5 linked regions of the Callithrix jacchus genome follow. The protein of the gene in region 1 interacts with the protein of each later gene in a pairwise test. Links are inferred from orthologs where the notes say so. Each region holds a gene or a part of one and is shown on either strand. Other genes may lie near its edges. The genes, in order: DDX17, WBP11, RBM15, BYSL and SF1.

Evidence for each region.
Region 2: the proteins of DDX17 (region 1) and WBP11 interact in a two-hybrid assay, tested with the Homo sapiens proteins (3 studies listed by BioGRID and IntAct). The link is inferred for Callithrix jacchus from reciprocal best matches to the Homo sapiens genes DDX17 and WBP11.
Region 3: the proteins of DDX17 (region 1) and RBM15 interact in binary tests that used the Homo sapiens proteins (3 or more experiments, as listed by UniProt). The link is inferred for Callithrix jacchus from reciprocal best matches to the Homo sapiens genes DDX17 and RBM15.
Region 4: the proteins of DDX17 (region 1) and BYSL interact in binary tests that used the Homo sapiens proteins (3 or more experiments, as listed by UniProt). The two-hybrid records come from large-scale screens. The link is inferred for Callithrix jacchus from reciprocal best matches to the Homo sapiens genes DDX17 and BYSL.
Region 5: the proteins of DDX17 (region 1) and SF1 interact in binary tests that used the Homo sapiens proteins (3 or more experiments, as listed by UniProt). The link is inferred for Callithrix jacchus from reciprocal best matches to the Homo sapiens genes DDX17 and SF1.

The regions. Positions count from the first base shown.
Region 1 is NC_133502.1:209,415,352-209,419,477, reverse strand, and holds part of DDX17 (putative ATP-dependent RNA helicase DDX17), read left to right. Parts: intron 1-2,778; coding exon 2,779-2,929; intron 2,930-4,126. UniProt on the Homo sapiens protein: As an RNA helicase, unwinds RNA and alters RNA structures through ATP binding and hydrolysis.
Region 2 is NC_133510.1:8,532,911-8,537,036, forward strand, and holds part of WBP11 (WW domain-binding protein 11), read left to right. Parts: coding exon 1-123; intron 124-1,529; coding exon 1,530-1,663; intron 1,664-1,884; coding exon 1,885-2,084; intron 2,085-2,657; coding exon 2,658-2,849; intron 2,850-4,126. UniProt on the Homo sapiens protein: Activates pre-mRNA splicing. May inhibit PP1 phosphatase activity.
Region 3 is NC_133508.1:148,190,045-148,194,964, forward strand, and holds the start of RBM15 (RNA-binding protein 15), read left to right. Parts: upstream 1-1,730; 5' UTR 1,731-2,823; coding exon 2,824-4,920. UniProt on the Homo sapiens protein: RNA-binding protein that acts as a key regulator of N6-methyladenosine (m6A) methylation of RNAs, thereby regulating different processes, such as hematopoietic cell homeostasis, alternative splicing of mRNAs and X chromosome inactivation mediated by Xist RNA.
Region 4 is NC_133505.1:50,431,326-50,435,451, forward strand, and holds part of BYSL (bystin), read left to right. Parts: intron 1-1,373; coding exon 1,374-1,512; intron 1,513-1,858; coding exon 1,859-1,992; intron 1,993-2,595; coding exon 2,596-2,756; intron 2,757-2,928; coding exon 2,929-3,031; intron 3,032-3,855; coding exon 3,856-4,126. UniProt on the Homo sapiens protein: Required for processing of 20S pre-rRNA precursor and biogenesis of 40S ribosomal subunits. May be required for trophinin-dependent regulation of cell adhesion during implantation of human embryos.
Region 5 is NC_133511.1:121,835,006-121,838,927, reverse strand, and holds the end of SF1 (splicing factor 1), read left to right. Parts: intron 1-656; coding exon 657-837; intron 838-1,100; coding exon 1,101-1,374; coding exon of another isoform or gene 1,375-1,378; intron 1,379-1,691; coding exon 1,692-1,751; intron 1,752-1,863; coding exon 1,864-2,043; intron 2,044-2,792; coding exon 2,793-3,130; 3' UTR 3,131-3,170; downstream 3,171-3,922. UniProt on the Homo sapiens protein: Necessary for the ATP-dependent first step of spliceosome assembly. Binds to the intron branch point sequence (BPS) 5'-UACUAAC-3' of the pre-mRNA. May act as transcription repressor.

The sequences.
Region 1 (4,126 bases):
TGCTGTTCTACTCTTAACTGAATGTTACACAGTTGAAGTGGTGGTTACTTTGAAAAGGGAATGGGTGAGGTCAGTTCATGTGTTTTACATGTGCGATGCAAAAATGATAGGCACTGTACATTTGAGGTAGTATTTTTAATGTTAACATGAATCTTCAAAGCTGAATTTTTTTGCAAAGTCAAGTTAAGCTGTTAATTGCTGACTGGATAAAAACATTTCAGGAGCATACTATACCAGAGTACGATGTGTATATTTAAAGATATGGATATGCTCAAAAGTAAAAGATTTTCTTCAATTTTGAGGTCATTAATTATGTCAGCATTAATTATAAACATGGAAGACAGCATATTTTCCAAGAACTCCATGTTTCAAATTAGATATATAGTGTAGGGTAGTATATCTTAAATAGCCAGAGAAATATGGAGAGAGGAAAAAATACATAAATGGTAATGAGGTTATGATTAGTTTAAAGCGTTACCAGGAACATCACTTTCAAAAGTTTTATTTTTTCGTAGATTATTGAGGTTTGGGTATTGCAATGCAGCAGTAACAATGGAATATTTTATAATTTGCGAGAGTGGTAATCCAAGGACTTGGTACTTCTTGAAAAGTGCCTTATTTAGCTGCTTCATTTGCAAGTGTAGGGGGTGGCAATTGAGGTGGCCTTTTGGTCTGTTCACTATTGCACTATTGAGCCTTAAGCCGAGGAGTACATTAAAGATGTTGTTGACATGTGTATGCCAATGCTATGTGCTCTTCCTGTTTTGATTCTTAATTTGTCTTACTGCCTCAGCAGTGGTATAAAGAATTAGCCACGTTCTACCTGTTGAATGTAGGTATCCAGTGATCCCAATAAAATTTTCCTGTCATCAATTTTTGTTATATTTGTGTTTAGAGGAATATATAGCTGGTTAAGCCAGAGTTCTAATGCTTTGAATTGCAGGAAATTGAGGCCCTATAGAATAATACACCTGCTGCCTGTCAGTTATAAAGTGAAACTTTATATAAGATGATGTTATGGCCAGGCACGGTGACTCATGCCTGTAATCCCAGCACTTTGGTTTTGGGAGGCCGAGGTGGACAGATCATGATGTCAGGAGTTTTTGAGACCAGCCTGGTGAACATGGTAAAAACCCATCTCTACTAAAAAAAAGAAAACAAACAAAAACTAGCTGGGCGTGGTGGTGCACACCTGTAATCCCAGCTAATCTGGAGGCTGAGGCAGGAGAATTGCTTAAACCCTGGGGGGCGGAGGTTGCAGTGAGCTGAGATTGTGCCACAGCACTCCAGCCTGGGTGACGGAGTGAGCCTCTGTCTTGGGGTGGGGAGATGATGGTACAAGTGGGTTAGAGTGGGAAAAGGAACCTAAATTAAGTACAGTATATTACAATGAGTAAAGAAGTTGTCAGTGAAAAAAATGCTGTACAGTTCGTGTGCCAGACACAGCCCTGCACTTCACAAGATTGAAATAGGGAAGATGAAGGCCATGTTAAGATATTTCTAGGAAAAGTAGCTTCTGATTTGTTAAATTTTAGCTTAGGCTAGTGGTCATATTTGTATTCCCCTTGAGCTTGTTTGTTGTGAAAGGTATGTAAAAAGCAGGAAGTTGATCTCAAGTAATTAGTTGACTTTTAAAACCTTAAATAAGTCTTGTTAGTGGCTTTTCTGTCCATTAATAATACCGTTTGGGAACAAGGAGGAGATACAAGGTAAAAGAGACGAAGAAGGAGAGGTCATAAATGTATGTTCAGCTTTTTTTTTTTTTGGAGATGGAGTCACCCTCTGTCTCCCAGACTGGAGTGCAGTGGTGTGGTCTCAGCTTACTGCAACCTCTGCCACCCTGGTTCCAGCTGTTCTCCGGCCTCAGCCTCCCAAGTAACTGGGATTACAGGCGTGCACCACCACTGTTTAGTAGAGACAGGGTTTCTCCATGTTGGCCAGGCTGATCAGAACTCCTGACCTCAAGTGATCTGTCTGCCTCGGCTTCCCAAAGTGCTGGGATTGTGAGCCACTGAACGTGGCTTGTTCAGCTCTTTTATTAGAATAAGCTAAAAATGAAGACCGGTCTACGAGGAGTGCTCGTCACAGTTTAAAGGGGGAAGGGCCCAAGAAGACTGAGGGACATGCTTGGAGTGTATTTTCTTCCTTGTCCACAATCTTGCCTTTAACTGAAACTGAAACTAATGTCATCCTTTGCCTGCCTCTCTGTTACACAAGAGTAGAGACTTGTTTCTGTTTTATTTACTTTAGTAACTCCAGCACGGCACCACTTCAAATAGTAACTGATACATAGTTGGTACCTAATAACTATTTGTTGACTGGAATGATGCTTGCTTGTACTGAGTGCTTGTTATGCCAGTTACTTTTATAGCACATTACACATTATTAGATCTTTTTCTCAGCAGCCTCTGAAATAGGTGGTATTATTTCTAACTTGCATAGGAAACTGAGGTGTGTAGAAGTTAAATAATTAAATTATACAGTAAGTGGCAGAATCAAAACTCAAACCATGTCTGGTTCCAGAATCTGTGATTGTAATCCTTAGTATGTATACAGGAATTTTTTATTTTTCACCTATTATAGCCATACTCATAAACAGTTACTCTTGTTGGGTAGTAAAGGAAGTTTTACACACTTCTCCATACCTTTAAATAGGAGTGAATAACATGGTCTTTTGGAGGTAGGCTGGTAGTAGTCTATCTTGTTTGAATCTTTTTATGGTGTGTAAGATATATTACTTCAAAAATACTGATGAACTAAAAATTCTGATGTTCCTAGATTTGGAGCAAGAGGTGGTGGTGGCCTCCCCCCGAAGAAATTTGGTAATCCTGGGGAGCGTTTGCGTAAAAAAAAGTGGGATTTGAGCGAGCTCCCCAAGTTTGAGAAAAATTTTTATGTGGAACATCCGGAAGTAGCAAGGCTGACTCCAGTAAGTTTGTGTGTGTGTGTTTTAATGTACAGATTATTGAACCAGTAGACATAGTGGTTAGAGTTTATTCATACACTAATGTTGCTGTTTTACATTTTATTCTAGTGTGGTGATATTTTTAAAAAAATTTTTTTTCTTAATCACCTCCCCTTCCCCTCCCCCCCAGAGACTGGGTTTTGCCACGTTGCCCAGGCTAGTTTCAAACTCCCTAGCTTGAGCAATCTACCCGCTTTGGCTTCCCAGAGTACTGGAATTAGAGGTGTGAGCCACTACACCCAGCTGATATTTTTCTTATATTCTTAACTAAGATCAGTAATCCTCATAAAAGGGGGCCAGTTTAAATATGCATTTAATTTGTTATTTGTTGATAATGCTTCCTAATCTATTTATTATACCTGATTGAAACTATTATATATTAGGTCATGTCTTTTCAACTGTCAGTGAAAAAAATATATTGGTGTTGTCTTTTTTTTTTTTTTTTTTGAAATGAGGTCTTGCTCTGTCCCCCAGGGTAGAGTGTTGTGGCGTGACCTTGGCTCACTGCAACCTCTACGTCCCAAATTTAAGCAATTTTCCCACCTCAGCCTCCTGAGTAGCTGGGATTACAGGCACATGTCACCATGCCCCACTATTTTTTTTTTTTTTTTTTTTTTTTAAGTAGAGCCACTGTGCCCAGCCAAAATTTGTCTGTTGTTGTGCCTCATTATCATTGTTTTGGACTTTACAAATGAAATGGTTACTCTTTCAGAAGGAAGTATAATAGAAAGAGTACTTGGGTCCAGGTTCCACTTTTTCTTCCTCTTCCTAGTTCTGACCTTGGACGAGTTACTTAAATATTTGTTTTCTCCTATAGAAAATAGAACTCTTGGCAGGGCGCAGTGGCTCACGCCTGTAGTCCCAGCACTTTGGGAGGCTGAGGCAGGCAGATCACGAGGTCAGGAGATCAAGTCCATCCTGGCCAACATGGTGAAACCCTGTCTCTACTAAAAATACAAAAAAAAGCCCTTAACAGAAAAAAAAAAAAAGAACTCTTAATCACCTCCATCATTAATTAACTTACAAAGTAAGTAGGAGCCTTGCAAAGTTAAATTGATACATATATGAAAGTACTATGTAAACATTTGCCATTGTAATTGTGGGTTGGATAATTGTTCAACTAGCTTGGAACATAAATTTTGAATGTTTAGAATAACTAGT
Region 2 (4,126 bases), on another chromosome or scaffold:
TTTGAACGTATTCTGCGACTCTATGAAAAAGAGAATCCAGATATTTACAAAGAATTGAGAAAGCTAGAAGTAGAGTATGAGCAGAAGAGGGCTCAACTTAGCCAATATTTTGATGCTGTCAAGGTAATCAAGGTGTTTTTTTTTTTTTGAGAGATAAACTAAAATATTATACAGATTGAGTATCCCTTATGCAAAATGCTTGAGACCAGAAGTGTTTTGGATTTAGGGGTTTTTCTTAGGGAGGGAGGGGGATTATTTGCATATATTTTGGGGACTGGACCTGAGTCTAAACATGAAATTTATATTTCATATACACATAGTCTGAAGATAATTTTGTGTATGAAACAAAACTGCGGCCCATCATATTACATCAGGTGTGGATTTTTCCACCATGCATCATATGGGAGTCAAAATGTTTAGGATTTTGGAGCATTTTAAATTTTCCATTAGGGATGCTCAGTTGTACTTAGATTTAAAAAGTTAATGGGAGAATGGATCATGCTGAACCTCTTCCTCATAGCAATTTCTTCTAAAACTAAACATGTCTACCCTATGAACCAGCAAATCTAATCCTCTGTATTTAAACAGGAGAAATTAATTCAAAACTAGGATCAGCCTAGTATTCACTAATAAGATAATGGATAATTAAAATGTAGTATATTTATACAATGGAATACTGTTCAGCAGTAAAAGGGATAATCTAATACTCAAAGCAACATGAAATATAACAAAAATTACCAATAAATCTCAACAAGCTAAGTTAATTTCATCGTTACAATTTCATTTCTAGAATACAACTAATCTGTGTACAATGTATGTACAACAATATATGTACAACTAATCTGTATTTCTAGGTACAACTAATCTATGCAGGAAAAAAAAATGTAGCAGTGGTTGCCTTGGGGGATATTAGAGGTGGATTGGGAAGGAGTATGAGGTATATGCATTTGTCAAAACTTGACTGAATTTGTACGTTTTGTAAATTTTACCTCAAAGAAGGGAAAAAATCAAATGCTGTTATTTCTGTAAAGGAGGTAATATGCCCCTCATTTTACAGATAAGGGCACAAGTTAACTTGCTTAGGTAGGCTAAGCTAATACACAACAGAAATTCAACATAGGCAAGCTCATGGGCCCAACCTGCGCCACTGGATATATACATTTGTTAGTTGACATGTATTATTTTTCTATCACCCTGCATATTAAATAGGGTAACTTTGGTGTTAGGTACTTTTAACAGTTGGATTTCTCTAAACAACAGCTATTTCGAATCATATACAAAAAGACTTACCTGATAGTAAGAGGAGAAAAAACAGCTGTGTTTTGGTGTTTTCAGTAATAAAGATTTCTTTCAATTCTTTGACAGTCTTTGGAAGTATTGACATGAGGCTATTTTTGTGGGAGTTTTTAGTGATATTTATGTTAGTTGGAAAGCATGTCTGAGTCATGAAACAGCTGACTTGTCATTTATAGCGTTTAGTTTATGGATGATTTTTTTATCGTAATACTGAAAGGTTCTCTCTGTTTCAGAATGCTCAGCATGTGGAAGTGGAGAGTATTCCTTTGCCAGATATGCCACATGCTCCTTCCAACATTTTGATCCAGGACATTCCACTTCCTGGTGCCCAGCCACCCTCCATCCTAAAGAAAACCTCAGCCTATGGGTAAGGAAGCAGTTCACAATCAGAGCTCATTTGGTAAAAGCACAAATTGACTGTCCACTACCAGAATTAATGCTGGGGTAAATAAAAGACAATGTGGATGTAAACAGTATGAAATTTGATTAAATGTAAAATAAGAAATCCCTTGAAAATTGTTTAGAAGAGAAAAATATCTCATTATTATTAAGTGATTACTGTGGGGTTTTTTGGTTTTTTTTTGACAGACCTCCAACTCGGGCAGTTTCCATCCTTCCTCTTCTTGGACATGGTGTTCCACGTTTACCCCCTGGCAGAAAACCTCCTGGCCCTCCTCCTGGTCCACCTCCTCCTCAAGTCGTGCAGATGTATGGCCGTAAAGTTGGTTTTGCCCTCGATCTTCCCCCTCGTAGGCGAGATGAAGACATGTTATATAGTCCTGAACTTGGTGAGAAGTGACTGTTCTTTTGCTGTTATAATGACCATTTTTTATGTTGGCCCTGTTTAACATATTGTTCACCACTCTCAGAGCTTAGGAAGTAAATGAGAGGATGTCATGTAAATACTAATATACATACAGTCGGGTAAATTATAGGATCTACCCAAGTAACAGCATCATACATAAGTATACTGTGTTTTAAATTAAGCTCTTCTTAGAGATGTCACTCTATCTTTTAAGACTTGTATATCTTGTTCCCTTTTAGCTCGTTGTCATCAGACTACAGTGTTGTATACATTCACTGACTCTATGTGTATATAAACATGATTGTTGCCAAAGGAAATGAGTTCTCAAATTAGAACCTCTTTTTAAAAAAATCTTAAATTACCAAAAAGTAGTGTTTAAAATTATTGGCAAATGAAAATATTGTTAGACTGTATGAATAGCTATGTACAGGAATTTTTTTTTTGTAAGAATTGTTACAGTCTTGAGTTAAAATAGCATAATTTTCAGTATTTCTGGGTACCATGTTTTAGAGGATCCAGTAATGTTACTTCTCCATGTTCCCTTCCCACTTTTCAGCCCAGCGAGGTCATGATGATGATATTTCTAGCACCAGTGAAGATGATGGCTATCCTGAGGACATGGATCAAGATAAGCATGATGACAGTACTGATGACAGTGACACTGACAAATCAGATGGAGAAAGTGAGGGGGATGAATTTGTGCACCGTGATGACGGGGAGAGAGACAACAATGAAGAAAAGAAGTCAGGTATGTGCAGAGGAAGGATTACAAATTGATCGATAAAGAGGAAACAAGCCGAAGGTCCTAATTTATTAGCCAATCTGTGAAAGTCCTGTGAAGTCTTTGGAAGTAGGGGTCATAGCTGTATTCATCTTTGTGTATTAAAATTTTGAAAGTTTTTGACACAGTAAGTACTCAGTGGATATTTATGAGGAAAAACATTAAACAGTGTAATAAAAATGTCTGTGATAAAGTTCACTTTAGGGTAAAAGGTATAAGAACTATTCACTAGCATAAGCATATGTTATGGTATGTTATAGGAAAGAAAGGAGAATAGCCCCACCTTTGAAGCCCTTTTATGGTATCTTATATCTTATGAACCAGGATCAGAATTTAAACCCAGGTACACTCATGAGTGGAATCATGAAACATATTGTGTCTATAATGTGTATGTTTTGATTATTACAAAATTCAAATTGAGTTACATGTACTCTTTAAAAGAAGCTATGATATTTGTCAAGAACATTTTAATCTTTGTAATAGGTACTGGCAGTGCAAAATGCACACTAATTCTGCAAACCTCAGCAGTTTGGGAGCTTCTTTTGGGATTATTTTTGTAGCCTACAACAGAATACTTATATAATACTATGCAATACTAACATTAATATTGATGACAAATTTTCCCCTGCTGTGTCTTAAGAATCATGGTTGCCAACAAAAAAAGCTAGTTAAAAAGACTAGATAGAGCTGGTAATGTATAGAGAACCGTTAGGTAGGAACCAGAACTAGAAAGTAGAAAGCCATTAGAGCCACAGCAGCTCCATTTTTTTCTGTGACTATGTGGTCTCTTGCCTTCTTTTCCTTTTATTCTGCCAAGAGATTTTTCTTTTTCTTTTTTTTTTTTTTAAGACAGTCTCACACTTGTTGCTCAGTTTGGAGTGCAGTGGCGCAATCTCAGCTCACTGCAATCTCCACCTCCTGGGTTCAAGCGATTCTCCCAAGTAGCCTCAGTCTCCCAAGTAGCTGGGATTACAGGTGCCTGCCACCACACCTAGCTCATTTTTGTATTTGTAGAAGAGATGGGGTTTTACCATGTTGGCCAGGCTGTTCTCAAACTCCTGACCACAGGTCATCCACCTGCCTCGGCCTCCCAAAGTGCTGGAAGTACAGGCGTGAGCTACCACACCCAACCAGATTTTTTTTATATATACTCATCAAGACACATGTTATGAAAATGGCTGTCTTAACTCTGACTTGATATTCACTCAGCTCATACTTACTGAGTTTTTACTATACACAGGGCA
Region 3 (4,920 bases), on another chromosome or scaffold:
CTACCAGCATCCAGATTTTTATCTTTAAATATCATTTCCCACTAAAAGGAATCAGAGCTCTCCGGAGAAATGGCTGATTCCACAACTGGGGCAGGAAATGTATCAGTAAGTCTGGGAGAAAACAATAGAGAAAGGAAGAGTGGGAAGTGTGATGCAGATGAAACAAGACTGACATGATTTGACAACTGTTGAAATAGGGTGTTGGGTATATGGAATTCTTTATAGTATTCTTTATTTTAAACTTTTTCCATAAAAATAATTTAAGGAAAATTAAAAATAATTATTTTTTAAACTGAAGGAGTAATAGCGTGCTTTTTGTATAAAACAAAAGATTTCTACAAAGAAAAGTGAAGTCTCCTTCCTATTCCAGACCGTCACACCCAGCCTCAGGGCGATCCTAGTAACACTTTCCCATATATTTGTCACGGAAGTTTCCAAGCAATGATATTTTTAAAATGTACATACTCACAAATGTAATTTTTAAAACCACAAATGATAGCATGTTATACACATTATTTTATGGCTTGTGGTTTTATTTTCTATTTTAATACAATGAATATGTTTATACATTACAATATCGTAGACTTTCTTGCTTTACCATTGAGCTTCTTCCTTCAAATTTCTTTGATCTAATAAAGGGATAAAAGGCCTGCCCCTTCACATTCCTCAGGATTACTTACCAAAAGGATGGCTCGGCCGCTAAATTTAGGTTACAGTTCCTTTTTTTTTTTTTTTTTTTTTTTGAGACGGAGTTTCGCTCTTGTTACCCAGGCTGGAGTGTGCAATGGCGCGATCTCGGCTCACCGCAACCTCCGCCTCCTGGGTTCAGGCAATTCTCCTGCCTCAAGCCTCCTGAGTAGCTGGGATTACAGGCACGCGCCACCATGCCCAGCTAATTTTTTGTATTTTTAGTAGAGACGGGGTTTCACCACGTTGACCAGGATGGTCTCGGTATCTTGACCTCGTGATCCACCCGCCTCGGCCTCCCAAAGTGCTGGGATTACAGGCTTGAGCCACCGCGCCCGGCCCACAGTTCCTAATCTTAACACCGTTTTCAAGTTTAGGTTTCGGCTTTTGGGACATTATTGTTACCTTGAAAAATGTCATGTTTAAAAACACCTCACACCCTCTACCATAGATTAGATCTTGGGAAATAGGTTGAGGACGCGATCAATGTAAGAATCCTCATAACCTCCGCCCTGGCGGATACCTGGGAGGGCTGCAGACAGTCTAACGGCTGCGGTGACCTCAGCGCTGCGCCCCTCCAGCAGCCGGCGAGCGCTGGGGCGGAGGCCGTACCCCACTAAGCTCGGCATCTCCTGCACCTCCCACAGGTGCTCTGTCCGCCACAGTAATGCTCTACGGAAAAGAGAGTTGTAAAGCGGACGGTTGGAGGAGCCAAACGAGGTGGATCTGGAGCGGCCGCAAGGTGCCTGCGCTGCTGGCTTCTAATACAATAAGCGGAGTGTGGGGGATACCAGAAGTTACAGCGGGGAAACCAAGTTACATTATCTGCATGGAACCTAAATTTCGCTTGATGACTTTCCAGGGAGAAGCATTAGATGTTAAAAACAAACATAGGTATTTTACGGGACAACAGAATTAAAAAATCCACACAGATTCGCAAAATAAAACAGGCCGCCCAGAGACACGTCCACGCTGTCCCGACAGTTCCGGCTCCGCCTGCGGGCCAAGAGGCGGGGAGCGACGGTCACTCCCCTCTGCTACCCAGAGTACTTGGGAGGGGACGGGGAGCGCCCCGGAAAGCAGGGCCCCCAAGCGAGGAGTGCTTCTTCGCCGCGCAGCTTGAAGTTCTTGAAGTTCCTTGTGGCAGCACCGCCCCGGGGCAGCGGCGTGACCTGGGGCTGCAGGAACCTTGAACTCCTAGCTCAGCGGGCCCGGGTGACCGCGGGCGGGACTCTCCCGCGCGCGGGGGCGGGGCTCCCCCCGGCTTTTCACGCAGCGGCCACAGCGACCTAAGATGGTGTCCTCTAGGCGTCCCAAGACGGCTTCCTGAGGGACTGGAGGGCCCCGACAGCCGGAGAGCCTGCCACGCTCCTGGGCCGGCGCAGGTAGGATGGCGGGGAGCCTGAACGTTTCGAACTCCAACGGCCGAAGCACAGCTAAGTACCTCACGGAACTGAACAAATGTTTGTGGGAGGACGCCGAAAAGGCGGGGAGGCGGGGCTGGCTCACAGCCACCCTCTCGCGACATCTAAGTGACGTCGCACAGTAAGCACGTGTTCTAGTCTTTCACCTTCAGTCAGCCTCCTCCTTTATACGGGCCTACCCCTTTAAGCAAGTGATGGACAGTTATTTCAGCTTATCAACTTCCTTGCGGACATCCAATCAGATTTAAACTTCTTTTAGCCGCCGGAGGAGTTGGGAAAAGGGGGTCGAAAGAGGGAGCTCACCCTCTCTCGCGATATCGCTGTGAGGCTGCCTCTGGAAAAAACGCTGAAGCGGATGGCCCGACCTCCTAAATAGTGGTTTAAAGGACGGGTTTATAAGCCAATGAAAGGGATGAGGAGGTGGGGTTGCTGCTTTCACCGAGTAAGAAGTACCGTTACAGGGCAGACTTTTCGTCCAATGAAGACCTCCAGACTTTGGGTCACATGACCGTAGAGCGCTAGGGGCGGAGCTACAGCCTGGCGCGAGGAACCGTTAAGATAGACAACAAATATAACCAATGAGATGCTCTGACTAGGGCTTTGGAAACCCAATAACAGTGGTTGGGCGGGCGCCTTCCTGGAGCGCGGGGAGATGTAAAGATAGACAAATAATTTTTCCAATGAGACTGTAGAAGAGAGAGCCAATTGGCCAATGAGGACTGCGGGGCGGGATTCTGGGCCGCGGCGGAGTCCAAGATGGCGGCGTGCGGTTCCGCTGTGTGAAACGAGCGCGGGGTGGCGGGTTAATCACCTCAGCGGAGACGACCTCCGACGACCCGCAACAATGAAGGGGAAAGAGCGCTCGCCAGTCAAGGCCAAACGCTCCCGTGGTGGTGAGGACTCGACTTCCCGCGGGGAGCGGAGCAAGAAGTTAGGTGGCTCTGGTGGCAGCAACGGGAGCAGCAGCGGAAAGACAGATAGCGGCGGCGGGTCGCGGCGGAGTCTGCACCTAGACAAGTCCAGCAGCCGAGGTGGCAGCCGCGAGTATGACACCGGTGGGGGCAGCTCCAGTAGCCGCTTGCATAGTTATAGCTCCCCGAGCACCAAAAATTCCTCAGGCGGGGGCGAGTCGCGCAGCAGCTCCCGGGGTGGAGGCGGGGAGTCACGTTCCTCTGGGGCCGCCTCCTCAGCTCCCGGCAGTGGGGACGGCGGGGAATACAAGACTCTGAAGATAAGCGAGTTGGGGTCCCAGCTGAGTGACGAAGCGGTGGAGGACGGCCTGTTTCATGAGTTCAAACGCTTCGGTGATGTAAGTGTCAAAATCAGTCATCTGTCGGGTTCTGGCAGCGGGGATGAGCGGGTAGCCTTTGTGAACTTCCGGCGGCCGGAGGACGCGCGGGCGGCCAAGCATGCCAGAGGCCGCCTGGTGCTGTATGACCGGCCTCTGAAGATAGAAGCTGTGTATGTGAGCCGGCGCCGCAGCCGCTCCCCTTTAGACAAAGATACTTACCCTCCATCAGCCAGCGTGGTCGGGGCCTCTGTAGGTGGTCACCGGCACCCTCCTGGAGGGGGTGGAGGCCAGAGATCCCTTTCCCCTGGTGGCGCAGCTTTGGGATACAGAGACTACCGGCTGCAGCAGTTGGCTCTTGGCCGCTTGCCCCCTCCACCTCCGCCACCATTGCCTCGAGAGCTGGAGAGAGAGAGAGACTACCCCTTCTACGAGAGAGTGCGCCCAGCATACAGTCTTGAGCCAAGGGTGGGAGCTGGAGCAGGTGCTGCTCCTTTCAGAGAAGTGGATGAGATTTCACCCGAGGATGATCAGCGAGCCAACCGGACGCTTTTCTTGGGCAACCTAGACATCACTGTCACCGAGAGTGATTTAAGAAGGGCGTTTGATCGCTTTGGAGTCATCACGGAAGTAGATATCAAGAGGCCTTCTCGCGGCCAGACTAGTACTTATGGCTTTCTCAAATTTGAGAACCTAGATATGTCTCACCGGGCCAAATTAGCAATGTCTGGCAAAATTATAATTCGGAATCCTATCAAAATTGGTTATGGTAAAGCTACACCCACCACCCGCCTCTGGGTGGGAGGCCTGGGACCTTGGGTTCCTCTTGCTGCCCTGGCACGAGAGTTTGATCGATTTGGCACCATACGCACCATAGATTACCGAAAAGGTGATAGTTGGGCATATATCCAGTATGAAAGCCTGGATGCAGCACATGCTGCTTGGACCCATATGCGGGGCTTCCCACTTGGTGGCCCAGATCGACGCCTTAGAGTAGACTTTGCCGACACTGAGCATCGTTACCAGCAGCAATATCTGCAGCCTCTGCCCTTGACTCATTATGAGCTGGTGACAGATGCCTTTGGACATCGGGCACCTGACCCTTTGAGGGGTGCTCGGGATAGGACACCACCCTTACTGTACAGAGATCGTGATAGGGACCTTTATCCTGACTCTGATTGGGTGCCACCCCCACCCCCAGTCAGGGAACGCAGCACTCGGACTGCAGTTACTTCTGTGCCTGCTTATGAGCCACTGGATAGCCTGGATCGCAGGCGAGATGGTTGGTCCTTGGACCGGGACAGAGGTGATCGAGATCTGCCTAGCAGCAGAGACCAGCCTAGGAAGCGAAGGCTGCCTGAGGAGAGTGGAGGACGACATCTGGATAGGTCTCCTGAAAGTGACCGCCCACGAAAGCGTCACTGCGCTCCTTCTCCTGATCGCAGTCCAGAATTGAGCAGTAGTCGGGATCGTTACAACAGCGACAATGATCGATCTTCCCGTCTTCTTCTCTTGGAAAGG
Region 4 (4,126 bases), on another chromosome or scaffold:
AACTCTGACAAACTTGGCAGAATGCTTCTCCAATTTGCAGTAAATAGAATAGACAAGCTCCCTGAAGTAAACAGAACTCCAGGCAGTCGCAGGAAATGATAGCTAGCATCTTCAGAAAGCAAACCTAGATCCATGTGGATTCAACAGTCAAGAGGCCATTTAGTTTAAAGGCATATTATAAGGTCCTATAAAGTACCTTAAGAACTTCAAAAACCTGAGTTTGACTGTTACTCCCCACCTGACAGCTATGAGGCCTTGGGTGAGTTACTAACCTGAGGCCCAGTTCCCATGTCTGCATAAGTTTCCGTGTCCCATAAGTGTTGCACTGACTTTAGGACTGAAAAGTCCCAAACTCAGTGCCTGGCACTGAGTAGGACCTCAGAAAAGAGGAGCAGTTTGTTTTTTTGTTTTGTTTTGTGACAGTCTCACTCTGTCAGCCACCCAGGCTGGAGGTCAGTGGTGTGATCTCTGCTCGCTGCAACCTCAACTTCTCAAGATTACTGGCATGCACCACCACGCCCGGCTAATTTTTGTATTTTTAATAGAGACAGGATTTCACCATGTTAACCAGGCTGGTCTTGAACTCCTGACCTCCCTCAGCCTCCCATTTTTGGGATTACAGGTGTGAGTCACTGCACCCAACTCAGGAGCAGCTTTAAGTACATTTCAGGCTGGGCATGGTGGCCCACACCTGTAATCTCAGCACTTTGGGAAGCCAAGGCAGGAGCCCAGGAGTGTGAGACCAGCCTGGGCAACATGAAAAGACCCCATCTCTACAAAAGAATAAAAAATTAGCTGGGTGTTGTGCTATGTGCCTGTGGTCCCAGCTAGTGGGGAGACTGAGATCGGAAGATCGCTTGAGCCAGAGAGATGGAGGCTGCAGGGAGCCGTGATGGTGCCACTGCACGCCAGCCTGGGCAACAGAGCTAGACCCTGTCTCAAAAAAATAAATAAATAAATACACTTCAACAGCCTCTGAAGTGTATTATAAAGTGGGTACCATTATTATTCCTGTTTAACGAATGAGGAAAACAGAGGCATAGAAAGGTAAAGTAACATGCCCAAGATCATACAGGGAGTAGGCAAGCCAGGATTTGAACCTGGGCAGACCAACTTCAGAGTTCAGGTTCATAATAACCTCCATACAACTGCCAGCTTTGTCCTAAATGGAATGACGTTCAGTTCCTTTGCACGCTGCAGCGATTCTGTGGTGGATGGATGGGCACAGAGAGGGAACTGAAGTTGCATATCACCCAGCAGGATTGCAGTATGTCAGTGCACACAAGGACTGTGGGGAGTCTGGAGCTTCCTGGACAGTGACCACAGCACTCCTTCCCTCCTCTCTCCCCTCCCCTTGACACCTCCCCTCTTAGGCGCACCCTGGCTGACATCATCATGGAGAAGCTGACTGAGAAGCAGACAGAGGTTGAGACAGTCATGTCAGAGGTGTCGGGCTTCCCTATGCCCCAGCTGGACCCCCGGGTCCTGGAGGTCTACAGGGGGGTCCGGGAGGTAAGAGCTGAGAGAGGAGCCATGGTTGAAGACCCATTCGGGGACTTTTTTGCCTTTTGCCCACATCTCATACTAAAGAAGTCATGGGAGCAGAAAACAGACCTAAGAAGCAGAGTGTGTGGGTTCAGATTCCTGCTCTGCCTATAAATGACTTGGCAACCTTGGATCAGTTACTGGAACTTTTCTCTGGTCATCTGTATAATGAGCAAAATAATGGCCCCTCCTTATACAGTTATTGTGAGCATGAAATGAGTTAATATATTAAAAGCACCCAGACAAGTTCCTAACCCACAGCAAGCTCGCCATATGTGGATGACGATGATTATTTTACCTCCCTCATCCCTAGGTATTATCTAAGTATCGCTGTGGGAAACTGCCCAAGGCATTTAAGATCATCCCTGCACTCTCCAACTGGGAGCAAATCCTCTATGTCACAGAGCCTGAGGCCTGGACTGCAGCTGCCATGTACCAAGCCACCAGGTAGGGTGGATGGGGGTTCGGGGGCCTTGGTCTATAGGTACAGGCTGGGCTTGGGATGGACAGGCTCTCCTTGCCTCTACCCCTAGGGCATTTGAGCTTTGCCCCATGGCCCTCTCTGTGCTACTTTATAGCATCATTTTCCTAGCTTTTCCTCTGTCGTGTTTTGTAGCCAAGACCCAGCTAGAAACCCTCCATGATGGATTTCTAGGGAAGAGGCTTTTACAGCCACTGGGATACAACCCCATAGCGGGGCCTCAGAAGTCTATGACTACCCAGGCATGCTCAGGGCCCTCGTGATAGCAGGGTTGAGAGGAGCTGTGACAGCAAGAGGAAGGAGAGTAGCTGAGTAGCCATCAGTTTGCATGAGCTCTGGCTCTCCCCCAGACAAACAGCACTCCCCATTTGGGTACATCTCGTTGCCCCTCCTGTTCTCTCTCTAAGTTGATGGGTGTTGTATGCACACAGCTCCCACATATCCCTCACTGAGAAAAAGATCTCTTATTTTACTTTAAAACCTTTTGTATGCACTATCCATGATGATATTTAATGGGCTGGGTCCAGACTGTCGTGTGACTTGGAAACTCCCCACTTAACTCCCACTAGGATTTTTGCCTCTAACCTGAAGGAACGCATGGCCCAGCGCTTTTACAATCTTGTCCTGCTCCCACGAATACGAGATGACATTGCTGAATACAAACGACTCAACTTCCATCTCTACATGGCTCTCAAGAAGGCCCTTTTCAAACCTGGAGCCTGGTTCAAAGGTGGGATCCCCAAGGCAGGGAAGAAAGGGAAGGGCTGGAGCTCCTACAGGGAACACAGCAGGCCTGGTGTGGGAAATGGCTGGCTGGCTGCCCCTGGGCTGGGTGGGAATGCTTCCTGTAACTCCTTTTTCTTAACCTGGGCTCATAGTGACTGCCCTTTGACTCTCCTCAGGGATCCTGATTCCACTGTGCGAGTCTGGCACTTGTACCCTTCGGGAAGCCATCATTGTGGGTAGCATCATCACCAAGTGCTCCATCCCTGTGTTGCACTCCAGGTAGCATTGTCGGGGGTGGAGGAGGGCTGGTCAGTGGATATCCAGGTAGTGGAATTGCCAGGACTTGGGGATGCGCAGAGTGGAGAAGGAGCTAAGGATAGCCTTGGGTTTATATCATTATCCCCCTAAATGTAAGTTCTGCAACAACAGGGCCTAAGTACCTGGTATAAAGTGCTGAGGCTGGGCTCAGTGGCTCACGCCTGTAATCCTAGCACTTTGGGAGGCTGAGGCCGGTTGATCACAAGGTCAGGAGTTCGAGACCAGCCTGGCCAACATAGTGAAACCCCATCTCTACTAAAAATACAAAAAGTAGCTGGGCTTGGTGGCACACACCTATAATCCCAGCTACTCTGGAAGCTGAGGCAGGAGAATCATTTGAACCCAGGAGGCAGAGGTTGCAGTGAGCCAAGATTGCACCATTTTACTCCAGCCTGAGTGACAGGGTGAGACTTCATCTCATAAATAAGTAAATATATCTGTCTCATAAATAAATAAGTGCTCAGTAAATAGATGAACAAATAAGTAGGAAGCACAGGAAGAAAGTAGTTAGGGTAGAGATGTTTAGATGTTTGGACCATACTCTAGTTGGGTACTGAAACAAGCAGTCTGTGCTAGAGGTAGAGATTTGGGTGGATGCTTGTAGAGATGGTGACTGGAGTCAAGGGAGTATAATACAATTGGGTAGGTGAGAAGGCCCCTAGGGAATACCATAGTGTAAGGGCCAGCAGAGGGGAAGAAAAAAGGGGGAAAGCACAGAGGAGAAGTAGGATCCTTCTTCCAATGCTTTCCCCGCCAACTTCACCCCACCTCCCTTTTCCCATCAGTGCGGCCATGCTGAAAATTGCTGAGATGGAATACAGCGGTGCCAACAGCATCTTCCTGCGACTGCTGCTAGATAAGAAGTATGCACTGCCTTACCGGGTGCTGGATGCCCTAGTCTTCCACTTCCTGGGGTTCCGGACAGAGAAGCGTGAACTGCCTGTGCTCTGGCACCAGTGCCTCCTGACTTTGGTCCAGCGCTACAAGGCCGACTTGGCCGCAGACCAGAAAGAGGCCCTCCTAGAACTGCTCCGGCTGCAGCCCCATCCACAACTA
Region 5 (3,922 bases), on another chromosome or scaffold:
TTAGAAATAGGCTCTATAGATATTCCTATTTGTTTGTCTTGAGCCCAAGAAAACTGGAAGCTTCCATTTTGAGTATAAATGTTTTCACTGGGGCTCAAGAGGAAGTTCCCTGCTTTTGCTATTCAGAATTGGTTCGAGAAGACTTGTTTCTTGGGGGTAGAGACGACGGAGATGGTTTTTCCATCTCCGTCGCCTCTACCTTTTCTCCCTCCCTCTAAAAAAAAAAAAAAAGAAAAATTCTTTCTGACCAGTTGCAAGTTGGCACTGGATACCAGCACCTTTTTATTCTGGCAAATATGTAAGCTTTTGTTCAGGAAGGTCGTTCGGGCAGTTGGGCCAGTCTTACATAGATTTTCTTTTCTCAAACTGGGAATGAAGTTTGATGGAATTGAGTTGAGAGAACCTGTGCTTCAGTGATGCTTAGGGTCGTCTGTGCTCTTCGCCCAGGGCCTCTGCTCTGGCGATCTCAGATGCAGAACTGGGCACGACACTGAAGATTGTTGAGAGACTGTTGAGAGCCATGTTCAGTAAGGGGTTAGAAAGATGTAATGATCTGATGATTGAATCCTTCAACACTTTCTGTATGTTGGTTTCTCAGGGTAAAAGCTTCCGTAATGAGTTTTTCCACTTTCTCTCTGTCTCCCACCCCACCTCAGGCCTGGTGATCCCCAGTCAGCTCAGGATAAAGCACGGATGGATAAAGAATATTTGTCCCTCATGGCTGAACTGGGTGAAGCGCCCGTCCCAGCATCTGTGGGCTCCACCTCTGGGCCTGCCACCACACCCCTGGCCAGTGCACCTCGTCCTGCTGCTCCCGCCAACAACCCACCTCCGCCGGTGAGCCTGGGGGCAGGTTCTCTTGGTCTGGCTTCCCCATTCTCTTCTGCAGAGACTGGGAGCTATGGCCATGTGCTTTGGGTAGAGCAGATCGATGGATATGGATGGCAACATTGTTCTTCTGGGATCTCAAGCCAATTGGGGACTTTTCTCACTTTGGGAAGACCTCGTTCTTGTGTTCTAGTCCTGTGGCATGAACGGAAGAACAATGTTGCCACCAGGGGGCGCAGGCAGGGACGTTGGCTGGAAATGCTCTCACGTAGTCTCTCATGTCCACCACTCAGAGTCGCCCACCCTGGATGAATTCTGGCCCTTCAGAGAGTCGGCCTTACCATGGCATGCACGGAGGTGGTCCTGGTGGGCCCGGAGGCGGCCCCCACAGCTTCCCACACCCGTTACCCAGCCTGACAGGTGGGCATGGTGGACATCCCATGCAGCACAACCCCAATGGACCCCCACCCCCTTGGATGCAGCCACCACCACCTCCGATGAACCAGGGCCCCCACCCACCTGGGCACCATGGCCCTCCTCCAATGGGTAAGTAAGTGTCAGACCAGAAACCTTGGGGCTTTGGGATAAGCAGGGGGTTGCGTCAGGTCACTGAGCTAGAAGCAGCTCTCAAGTGGCTCGGCAGTGTGCCGGGTCTGCCTGACTTGCCAGGGTTATGGCTCTGGAAGGAGCGAGACTTCATTCTGGTACAGGGAGTGATTCTGTGTCAGCTAGGCACAGACACTGCCTTTTACAGGCATGGTTTTCAGAACTCCTGTAAGGATAGCAACTCAAGTTATCACAGGGGTGGCTTCCCTGGCCAATTCCAATGTCCTGCTAAGTCCCTGCTCTTTCCTTCCATCAAGATCAGTACCTGGGAAGTACGCCTGTGGGCTCTGGGGTCTATCGCCTGCATCAAGGAAAAGGTAATGGCTGTCTGCTGGCTGTGGGTCTTCACCTAGGTTTGGGCACGTGGGGACTGTGGCCCAAATCCCCCCCTTTCCCTAAAGCCTCATCTTTGCCTACACCTACCTGCAGGTATGATGCCGCCACCGCCTATGGGCATGATGCCGCCGCCGCCTCCGCCTCCCAGTGGGCAGCCCCCGCCCCCTCCCTCTGGTCCTCTTCCCCCATGGCAACAGCAGCAGCAGCAGCCTCCGCCACCCCCTCCGCCCAGCAGCAGTATGGCTTCCAGTACCCCCTTGCCATGGCAGCAAAGTGAGTAGAATATTTTGGGCTTGTGGGCGTGGGTGGGATGGGGGTGGGCCTGAGAGGAACCGTAGAGCCTCACACCTCACACAAGCAGGCAGGTGCCTTGGGATGAGCCCCTGAGCTCTGCTGGGGTTGTAAACAGAAAGGGCCTCCTGGTCCGGGGGGTAGAGGGGCATCTTGGAGAGGAGAGCTGATGTTTGGTGTGGTTGTGTCTGGGGAGAGGTTCGTGGGGACCTGGAGGGGAGCCTGCTGTTGTAGGTAGGGGGACAGAAGTCCCGTCCTCACGGGCTGAGTGAGCGGCTGGCTGGACCGAGCCTGGTGCATATGGCCCGAGTGGGATGGTGCATGCTTGCTCTGGCGAGGGCTGTGATTGGGGTGAGAGACTGCAGAGGTGGGACCGGGCAGTGGGGAGAGAGCAGCTGTGGCCTTGAGGTTGAATGTGCCGTTCGGTGGTGGCGGCGGCTGGGCGGAGGGACGTCAGAGCTGTTTTTGTGTCTGGTACCTTCCCCTCAGCCCTTCTAGGGGCATTGGTGACAAAGGGCTTACTCTGTTAAGCCCAGAGACCTCGAGGCTGACCCCAGGGTAGTCCTGCCCACCCCTCCACTCCCATCACCAGCCCCGCCCGCCCGCCCCCCACCACCGTACCGCATGCCAAGCAAGGAGCAGGCGCCCCTCGCCCCCATCCCAAGGCAGCAGCCGCAGACAGCCGCGGTGTGCCCCCGCGCGTGTGACCTTGGGCTTCTTTACCACCCCAGATACGACGACTACCACCACGAGCGCTGGCACAGGGTCCATCCCGCCATGGCAACAGCAGCAGGCGGCTGCCGCAGCTTCTCCAGGAGCCCCTCAGATGCAAGGCAACCCCACTATGGTGCCCCTGCCCCCCGGGGTCCAGCCGCCTCTGCCGCCTGGGGCCCCTCCCCCTCCGCCGCCTCCACCGCCTGGTTCCACCGGCATGATGTATGCCCCGCCCCCTCCTCCTCCGCCTCCCATGGACCCTTCTAACTTTGTCACCATGATGGGCATGGGGGTGGCGGGCATGCCGCCCTTCGGGATGCCTCCAGCTCCCCCACCGCCTCCACCACAGAACTAGACTTGTTTTTTAAGAAAATATATATTATATATAGAGAGAATTGGTCTCGTTTAAACACGCCGAACCTCACCATATGGAGCCAGACATTGGGACGCACGCATGTGATTGTGTGTGCACGCATGTGTGTGTGTGCACGCACGGGGCTGGGCCAAGCGACTGAGGATTCGCTTGGGAATGGGCAGTGGTAGTAGGGGCGCCAGCTTGGGCTCTTCTGGCGCCCCGTAGCATCGAGTGTCTTCTTTGTCTTCTTTCTCTCCTCACCCAACTCCCTTTGCCTCTCCCCAAACCGGGCCGCCAGGATCCCTCCCCGCGGCGGCGATGGCCCGAGCCATGAGAGTGAGGACTTTCCGCGCCCATTGGTGACCCTTCCAGGCAGACAGCCTCAGCAACGCCCCTGGTGGACAGGATGGTTCGGCAAAGCAGCCTGAGTTATTTTTGTGGACGGAATCGGAACACGCTGGCTCCATATCGTGAAATTTTTATTAATTTTTTTCTTTTTCCTTTGTTACTTCCTTATCTCTTCCTTTCTTCAGACTCCGTCCAAGGAGATGCTCTCCCCGGTCTTCTGCTACAATTAGATTCTTTTCCCTTCTCTCCAGTTCTTCCCTTACCAAGGAGAGGGGAGCAAATGGTTTTGGGCATGGGCTTCGGCCATTCATGCCAAGCTGGTTGTGGGGTTCTTTGGTTCGTAAGTTTTTCACGGTGCCATAACCACCCACAAAGATGTTGGTTTAAAGTGTGGGGCTTTTAAATCTCTGCCACCCTTGTCAAGGGAGTCTTGTACAGTGGTCA